2 linked regions of the Macaca mulatta genome follow. The protein of the gene in region 1 binds, or shares a complex with, the protein of each later gene. Links are inferred from orthologs where the notes say so. Each region holds a gene or a part of one and is shown in the gene's direction. Other genes may lie near its edges.

What was found.
Region 2: the proteins of POR (region 1) and HMOX1 are in contact, whole or in part, in a crystal structure (PDB 3WKT), measured with the Rattus norvegicus proteins. The link is inferred for Macaca mulatta from reciprocal best matches to the Homo sapiens genes POR and HMOX1. Residues at the interface, in NP_113764.1 of Rattus norvegicus: Thr88, Thr177, Asp208, Asp209, Arg313, Arg514, Lys515, Gln517, Arg519, Leu520, Phe522, Lys523, His626, Lys665, Met667, Thr668, Lys669, Gly670, Tyr672; in NP_036712.1 of Rattus norvegicus: Asp12, Ser14, Glu15, Gln38, Ala75, Pro76, Glu81, Lys149, Ile150, Lys153, Ser171, Asp173, Asn174, Thr176, Lys177, Phe178, Lys179, Gln180, Leu181, Arg183, Ala184, Arg185, Asn187, Thr188.

Annotation. Positions count from the first base shown.
Region 1 is NC_133408.1:50,268,597-50,272,246, reverse strand, and holds part of POR (NADPH--cytochrome P450 reductase), read left to right. Parts: intron 1-454; coding exon 455-579; intron 580-898; coding exon 899-988; intron 989-1,591; coding exon 1,592-1,690; intron 1,691-2,955; coding exon 2,956-3,072; intron 3,073-3,172; coding exon 3,173-3,291; intron 3,292-3,650. UniProt on the Homo sapiens protein: This enzyme is required for electron transfer from NADP to cytochrome P450 in microsomes. It can also provide electron transfer to heme oxygenase and cytochrome B5.
Region 2 is NC_133415.1:16,160,566-16,164,808, reverse strand, and holds the start of HMOX1 (heme oxygenase 1), read left to right. Parts: upstream 1-1,395; 5' UTR 1,396-1,477; coding exon 1,478-1,500; intron 1,501-2,399; exon of another isoform or gene 2,400-2,689; intron 2,690-3,409; exon of another isoform or gene 3,410-3,609; intron 3,610-3,912; exon of another isoform or gene 3,913-4,178; coding exon 4,179-4,243.

The DNA of each region.
Region 1 (3,650 bases):
CCCCACCCCGTTCTCAGCAGCCAGGGCAGGCCACTCGTGAGACCCTCTCCTCTGCCCTGGACCCCAGCACTATGAGAGTGTCCCCTCCCTGTCCTCAGCTCCAGGGGACATTGGGTGCTGGAGACTAAAGGCAAGAGGGTTCTGGCCGGACGACTGAGACTTGGCTGGGCTAGGGGAGCTGGAGTCCCAGCCAGTGGGGAGGGTGGGCTGCTTCCACTTCCCCATAGGTTGAGGCTGGCGGTGGACTGGGCAGGCTGTGGGCTGCAGGTCACCCACACGAAGCCTCTTCAGTGGCCCAGTGTTCCTCGCAGTGCAAGGCGCCTGATGGGATGGAGGCCTGCAGGTGTTCCCAGCAGCTCAGCCAGCGCTGTGGGGCCTCCCACCCCGCCCCCATGGCACCTCCCGCTGGTCAGGCCGAGGGCCAGGCCTCAGAGCGGCCCCTGTGTCCACACAGGTGTTTGGTCTTGGGAACAAAACCTACGAGCACTTCAATGCCATGGGCAAGTACGTGGACAAGCGGCTGGAGCAGCTCGGCGCCCAGCGCATCTTTGAGCTGGGCTTGGGCGACGACGATGGGAAGTGAGTGCCCACCCTGCCACCCTGATCAGCGCTGTGGGCCTCGGCAAGGGCCGTGGAACGTGAGGGGCACGCACACCCTTGTGTCAGCTGAGACTCAGCGACACGCACCTCCCACACAGGGAAGGGGCTCTCCCGCCTCTGCCCTGCCCCTGCCGGTGTTGCTTTTCGGCTTGTCCGACTCCCTGGAGCCTTCCTGATGCTCTGGGTTGATGTCACTGGTGCCCAGTCCTGAGCTTTGGGGACGGGGCGTGCCCGGCACCAGGTATTGTTGCCACATCGGCCTGCCCTGAGCCGTTCCCCCCTCCTCTCCTCGGCCCAGCTTGGAGGAGGACTTCATCACCTGGCGAGAGCAGTTCTGGCCGGCCGTGTGCGAGCACTTTGGGGTGGAAGCCACTGGCGAGGAGTCCAGGTGAGCGAGGGCCCGCAGGTGCCACCGGTGGGTGGGCTGGGCTGGTCCTGTGCCGAGGGTGGCCACCCTGGAATGGGGGCTGGCAGTGGGTCACAGCGAGGTCGAGGAGGGACCTTGGTCCCAGCCAAGGACTCACTCTGCCACCTTGCTCTGCACTGCCCCGGGGCAGCGGGGCGCACCCCACCTGTCGACAAGGACACAGTGCGTCGGGCTCTGAGGCTAGGTTCAACTTTGGCAGAGGGGTTCATTTCCTTAAAATCTGTCTCCATAGACTTGGCCAAAAACAGCGTTCCTCTCTGTGCCCTCGATGGCCCCTGGGTGCTGCCCAGGCTTTCCTTACTTTCTCCCAGAATCTCCCAGAAGCCTGCCCAGCCCTGCCCCGGCTTCTGGGCGCCTGACCCCCGGCAGCTCCATGCCACCTCCCTCCTTGCTCCCTCGCCTGCCCTTCTTGCGCATCTGCAGCAGGGGCTCCCCCGCCTCCTGTCGTATGTACCTGGGCCCTTGCCCCGAAGGCCACGCGCCACCTCCCCTGTAGTCCAGCCCCTCCCTCTCAGGACTGACCCCTGCTGCTTCCCGGCCTCACCCTCGGTCTTCCCCTTCCAGCATTCGCCAGTACGAGCTTGTGGTCCACACTGACGTAGACGCGGCCAAGGTGTACGTGGGGGAGATGGGCCGGCTGAAGAGCTACGAGAACCAGAAGCCGTGAGTGGAGGGAATGTGGCTTGGGGCAGACGGCTCTATGGCCGCTGGTGCATCCCAGACTCAGTCTGCCGTGTATCCTCATATCCCCGCAGGGCCCTTCTCACCAGACCCCGTGCCACGAGTGGGTGTGAGTGTCCCTACACAGGGAGGGCATGAGGCCCAGAGCAGAGAGGGGAACTGCCCGAGAGCCAGGCAGCTGCTCCATGCCCTGACGCAGTGCCTGTCCAGGGCCCGGCCCCGGAAGACTGGCACTCGCCCAGTTTGTACTGAGCTCACTTAGCCACCTTACTCTACACTGCCCAGGGCCGCAGGGCGCGTCCCACTTCTCAACAAGGACACAGCGCACTGGGCTCTGTGGCTACGATCCTCTTTGGCAGCTGGGCTCATTTTCTTAGAATCTGTCTCCATAGATAGACTTGGGGAAAACCTAGCGTTCCTCTGTGCCCTTGATGACCCCTGGGTGCTGGCCAGATTCCTGCCTGAGCCACCCAGGGAAGTCCGTGCCACTGCATCCAATACCAGCTGCCCTGCTTTCTGTAGGCCTGCCCCAGCCTGGCTGGAGCAAGAAGCCCCGCATTTCAGTGGCTTTCTGGAGTGCAGATTTCTGTCTCGTCCACGGTGTAGTCCAGGACATGTGGGGGTGGGGAAGCTGTGCCCCTCATTTGGAGACCCAGCCACCTTCCAGCCTGTGGCACCGTCAGCTTGGGTCTCACAGTTCTTTTAAGGGCCAGCCTCAGCTTCCACATTTGGAAACGGAGACACTGATGACCCAGCTCTGCCCACGTGGTGGGACTGTAGAGAGAACTGTATTGGGGCCAGGCGAGGTGGCTCACACATGTAATCCCAGCACTTTAGGAGGCCGAGGCGGGTTACTTGAGGTCAAGAGCTCGATACCAGCCTGGCCAACATGGTGAAACCCCGTCTCTAGTAAAAATATAAAAATTAGCCAGGCGTGGTGGCGCACGCCTGTAATTCCAGCTGCTCAGGAGGCTTAGGCAGGAGAATCACTTGAACCTGGGAGGTGGAGGTTGCAGTGAGCCGAGATTATGCCACTGCACTCCAGCCTGGGCGACAGAGCGAGACTCAGTCTCAAAAAGAAAGAGAACTGCATTGGATCGGGCTGGGAGAGCCCTTGATGTAACCGGTGAGATTTCCTCGTGATCTCTTGAGATTCCCTGTGCTTTGTGCAACCAGAAGGGTCCTTGTGGACAGAGACTCAGATCCAAGCCCTGGCAGCTCACTGCGCTTCTCTCCTCCCCACCCAGCCCCTTTGATGCCAAGAATCCATTCCTGGCTGCAGTCACCACCAACCGGAAGCTGAACCAGGGGACCGAGCGCCACCTCATGCACCTGGAATTAGACATCTCGGACTCCAAAATCAGGTACCAGCTGCCGCCGTCACCCCCTGAACCCTTACTCTGGGCCTCCTGACCCGGGGCAGGGCCGGCCTTCTGCCCTCCCGAGCCTGGCATCTCCCTCCAGGTATGAATCTGGGGACCACGTGGCTGTGTACCCGGCCAACGACTCTGCCCTCGTCAATCAGCTGGGCAAAATCCTGGGTGCCGACCTGGATGTCGTCATGTCCCTGAACAACCTGGATGGTGAGTGCCACAGTCAGGGCGCCCTGCATGGTCCAGGCAGCTGCAGGATTCGGCCTGTAGGAAGGCCCTGGGTTGAGCTTCTCCTTAGGCCTGAAGCCCGGGTACCTGGGCGGCCCTTGCACCGAGACTCCACGGTTACAGGATCCCAAGCAAATGGGAGGCAGAGTGGCCGTAGGTCAGGCCCTCTCTTGGGGTTCCCCCTACCCTGTCACTGTCATAGCCTTTAAGGGAGTGAGGTGCTGGGGCCTGGAGGCAGAGGCAGCCCCGGCTCCCCCATGGCCACTGTGTCTGCTGGGAAGGAAGGTCCTGGGGCTGCTCCCACCTCCTCACCGAAGTCAGGAGTCAGCAGCCCTCCCAGG
Region 2 (4,243 bases), on another chromosome or scaffold:
TTGAATTCCAGGAAGTTGTTTTTTGTTGTTGTTGTTTTTTGTTTTTTTTTTTGAGAGACAGTGTCTTGTTCTATTGCCCAGGTTAGAATACAGTAGCGTGATCACAGCTCACTCCAGCCTCTACATCCCAGGCTCAAGCGAACCTCCAGCCTCAGCCTTTCAAGTAGCTGGGACCACAGGCATGTGCCAGCATGCCCAGCTAATTTATTTTCTATTTTATAGAGACAGGGTCTCCCTATGTTGCCCAGGCCAGTCTCGAACTCAAAACAATCTTCCCACCTCAACTGGGCTCAAAGCAATCTTCCCACCTCAACCTCCCAAAGTGCTGGGACTACAGGTGTGAGCTACCATGCCAGGCCTGAAAGCCATCTTATAAAAAACAAAAAAACATTAGAATGAGAATCATAGCATTAGGAAATGACTCTATGAAATCTATGAATCATCTGGTCCATTTGTTTTGTCCTCTGGGTTCACCCAATGACCCTCTTTTCCCCAAGTTCTCAGCAGTCCACCTCATGAAGAATTGATTCAATAGGCGATCAGCAAGGGCCAGCTCTGCTCTGGGCCCTGAGCAGGCACTGAGTATAAGTCAGACCTGAATGTGCCTGGAAGAGTGTCCCACGCATCCCAGCAGGGAAGCAGTTTGTATGACAGGTGTCCCAGTCCAGGCGGGCACCAGGTGCTGCCGGAGTGTGGAGGAGGCAGGCGGGGACTTAGTCTCCTCCCTGGGTTTGGACACTGGCTTCCTGCTTTATGTGTGACACCACTGCACCCCTCTGAGCCTCAGTTTCTCCAGCTGCAAAATGGGAGCGATCTACCCCCACAGGTCAGTTGTAGGGATGAACCATGAAAATACTGGAGTCTCTGTTTTTTGACAGGAACTAAAAAACCAGATCCTAAATGTACATTTAAAGGGGGTGTGAGGAGGCAAGCAGTCAGCAGAGGACTCCAGAAGGTGGCATTTTAGGGAGCTGGAGACAGCAGGGTCTGGGGTTGCTAAGTTCCTGATGTTACCCACCAGCCTCTTGCTCTGAGCAGCGCTGCCTCCCAGCTTTCTGGAACCTTCTGGGACGCCTGGGGTGCATCAAGTCCCAAGGGGACAGGGAGCAGAAGGGGGGGCTCTGGAAGGAGCAAAATCACACCCAGAGGCTGCAGCTTCTCAGATTTCCTTAAGGTGTGTGTGTGTGTGTGTTTTTTTTTTTCTAAAAGTCTATGGCCAGACTTTGTTTCCCCAGGGTCATATGACTGCTCCTCTCCACCCCACACTGGCCCGGGGCGGGCTGGGCGCGGGCCCCTGCGGGTGTTGCAACGCCCGGCCAGAAAGTGGGCCTCAGCTGTTCCGCCTGGCCCACGTGACCCGCCGAGCATAAATGTGACCGGTCGCGGCTCCGGCACAGTCAACGCCTGCCTCCTCTCGAGCGTCCTCAGAGCAGCCGCCGCCCGCGGAGCCAGCACGAACGAGCCCAGCACCGGCCGGATGGAGCGTCTGCAACCCGACAGGCAAGCGCGGGGCGCGGGACGGGCGCCTTTCCCTCCCCTCCCAGCTGGCGTCCCAGTCCCACCCGGGACACTGCCACGCAGCGACAGAGCCCGGGAGCCAGAAACTTGGGCCCTGGAGTCAGGAGGCGCGGGGTTCTGATCCTGCCTGTGCCCGTAGGGTGGCTGGAGGGAGGAACGGTGATTTACATGCCTGGCACCCTGGTATGCGGTTGGGGACCAAGATGGGAGTGTCCCTAGAGTATCCAGCCTTTGAGGTAGCCAATGTTTGTTAAATCCAACTTTCGAGGTGTGTTTGGAGTTGCTCTCTGCTGAATCTAGATCTCTGGGGCTTCCCTGTGAGGGAGTCAATTTTGTTTTAATCCAACTTTTGAGGTGTGCTTGGAGCTGCTGTCTGCTGAATCTAGATCCCTGGGGCTCCGCTAGCCTGGGAGAGCATGCTTGGTTCTCTTGGTGGCATCTGTCCCTCACTAGCTACGGAGGACCTGAGCCAGACATCACCCTGGCTACGGTGTTCCGCGTCTCACAAATAAGGATTGCCCAGTTCAGGCAGGCGACATACCCTAGAGTACTCAGTCAGCAGGTGTCAGAACTGGGTGTTGAACCTTGGCCTGCCCACCTCCAGGTCTCGCTCGTTCCCTTCTTTCAAGAATTTCTTAGGTTTTTTTTTTTTTTTTTTTTTTTTTTTTTTTTTTAACTCCTGGGCTCAAGCATCCTCCCACCTCAGCCCCCAGAGTTAACTGGGACTTACAGGCGTGTGCCGCTTCTCCCAAGAATTTGATCAGCTGTGTTGTAGAACAGGGGATGATGTTCCGGGAAGCAGGGCGGGAGGAAAGGGAAAAATGACAGTTCTATGGGGACGCAGGGATACGGACCCATGACAGAAATACTCCCGGAGAGACTTTTTCTTTCTTTCTTTTTTTTTTTTTTGAGACGGAGTCTTGCTCTGTCGCCCGGGCTGGAGTGCAGTGGCCAGATCTCAGTTCACTGCAAGCTCCGCCTCCCAGGTTTACGCCTTTCTCCTGCCTCAGCCTCCTGAGTAGCTGGGATTACAGGCGCCCGCCAACTCACCCGGCTAGTTTTTTTTGTATTTTTTAGTAGAGACGGGGTTTCACCGTGTTAGCCAGGATGGTCTCGATCTCCTGACCTCGTGATCCACCCGTCTCGGCCTCCCAAAGTGCTGGGATTACAGGCTTGAGCCACTGCGCCCTGCCGAGACTTTTTCTTTAACTAAAGCAGAATTTTTCAGAATTTTTAACCCTGACGTCTTCATGATGAGCATAACATGATAGGGGGGTCATGAGATTTGCATCTGAAACTTTAACAAAATAACTGAATTAAATATTGGGTCTAAAAGCCAATCAAAGCAATTACAAACTTTGAGATGCGCGTTCATGGGGCCTCTGCTTTTTCCTGGGTTATGCTGTACCTCCTCCTCCTCTCCACTGGGAACTACCGGTACCAGGATTTCCCCCTTGGTTTGGGGGACTGTATTATTCAGTGTTTTATTTTTATTTTATTTTTTTTTGAGACGGAGTCTCGCTCTGTCACCCAGGCTGGAGTGCAGTGGCCGGATCTCAGCTCACTGCCAGCTCCACCTCCACGGTTCACGCCATTCTCCCGCCTCAGCCTCCCGAGTAGCTGGGACTACAGGCGCCCGCCACCTCGCCCGGCTAGTTTTTTGTATTTTTTAGTAGAGACGGGGTTTCACCACGTTAGCCAGGATGGTCTCAATCTCCTGACCTCGTGGTCCGCCCATCTCGGCCTCCCAAAGTGCTGGGATTACAGGCTTGAGCCACCGCGCCCGCGCCTGGCCTAGTTAGTGTTTTAATGACTGAAGAGTGTTTACAAGGCTGCAAGAGTCACCATGCCCAGCCTGAATTTGTTTTTTTGTTGTTGTTGATTCTGGGTTTTTTTTTTTGCTTTTTTTTTTTTTTTGAGATGGAGTCTTGCTCTGTTGCCCAGGCTGGAGTGCAGTGGCGTGATCTCGGCTCACTGCAACCTCCACTTCCTGGGTTCAAGCTATTCTCCTGCCTCAGCCTCTTGAGTAGTTGGGATTACAGGCGCCCACCACCACACCCGGCTAATTTTTTTTTTTTTTTTTTTTTTTTTGTATTTTTAGTAGAGATAGGGTTTCACCAATGTTGGCCAGGCTGGGCTCAAACTCCTGACCTCAGGTGATCTGCCCGCCTTGGCTTCCCAAACTGCTAGGATTACAGGTGTGAGCCACCACGCTTGGCCCTTTCTTTTTTTCTTTTTTTTTTTAAGATGGAGTTTCTCTGTCACCAAGGCTGGAGTGCAGTGGTGTGATCTCAGCTCACTGCAACATTTGCCTCCGGGGTTCAAGCAGTTATAGGCATAATCGCTGGGATTACAGGCATCCGCCACCATGCCCGGCTAATTTTGTATTTTTAGTAGAGATGGGGTTTCACCATGTTTGCCAGGCTAGTCTCGAACTCCTGACCTCAGGTGATCCGCCCACCTTGGCCTCCCAAAGTGCTGGGATTACAGGCGTGAGCCACTGCACCCAGCCACAAGGCTGCATCTTAAAGCGATTGGGAATGTGGCCTGAATAAGAATGGGAGTCCTTGGAGGCCTGCTTACAGGTGGGTGGCTCCTGCAGTTGGGGAGGACCCCACCCCCAGCCAGCTTTGTGTTCACCTATCCCATTTCCTCCTCAGCATGCCCCAGGATTTGTCAGAGGCCCTGAAGGAGGCCACCAAGGAGGTGCACACCCAGGCAGAGA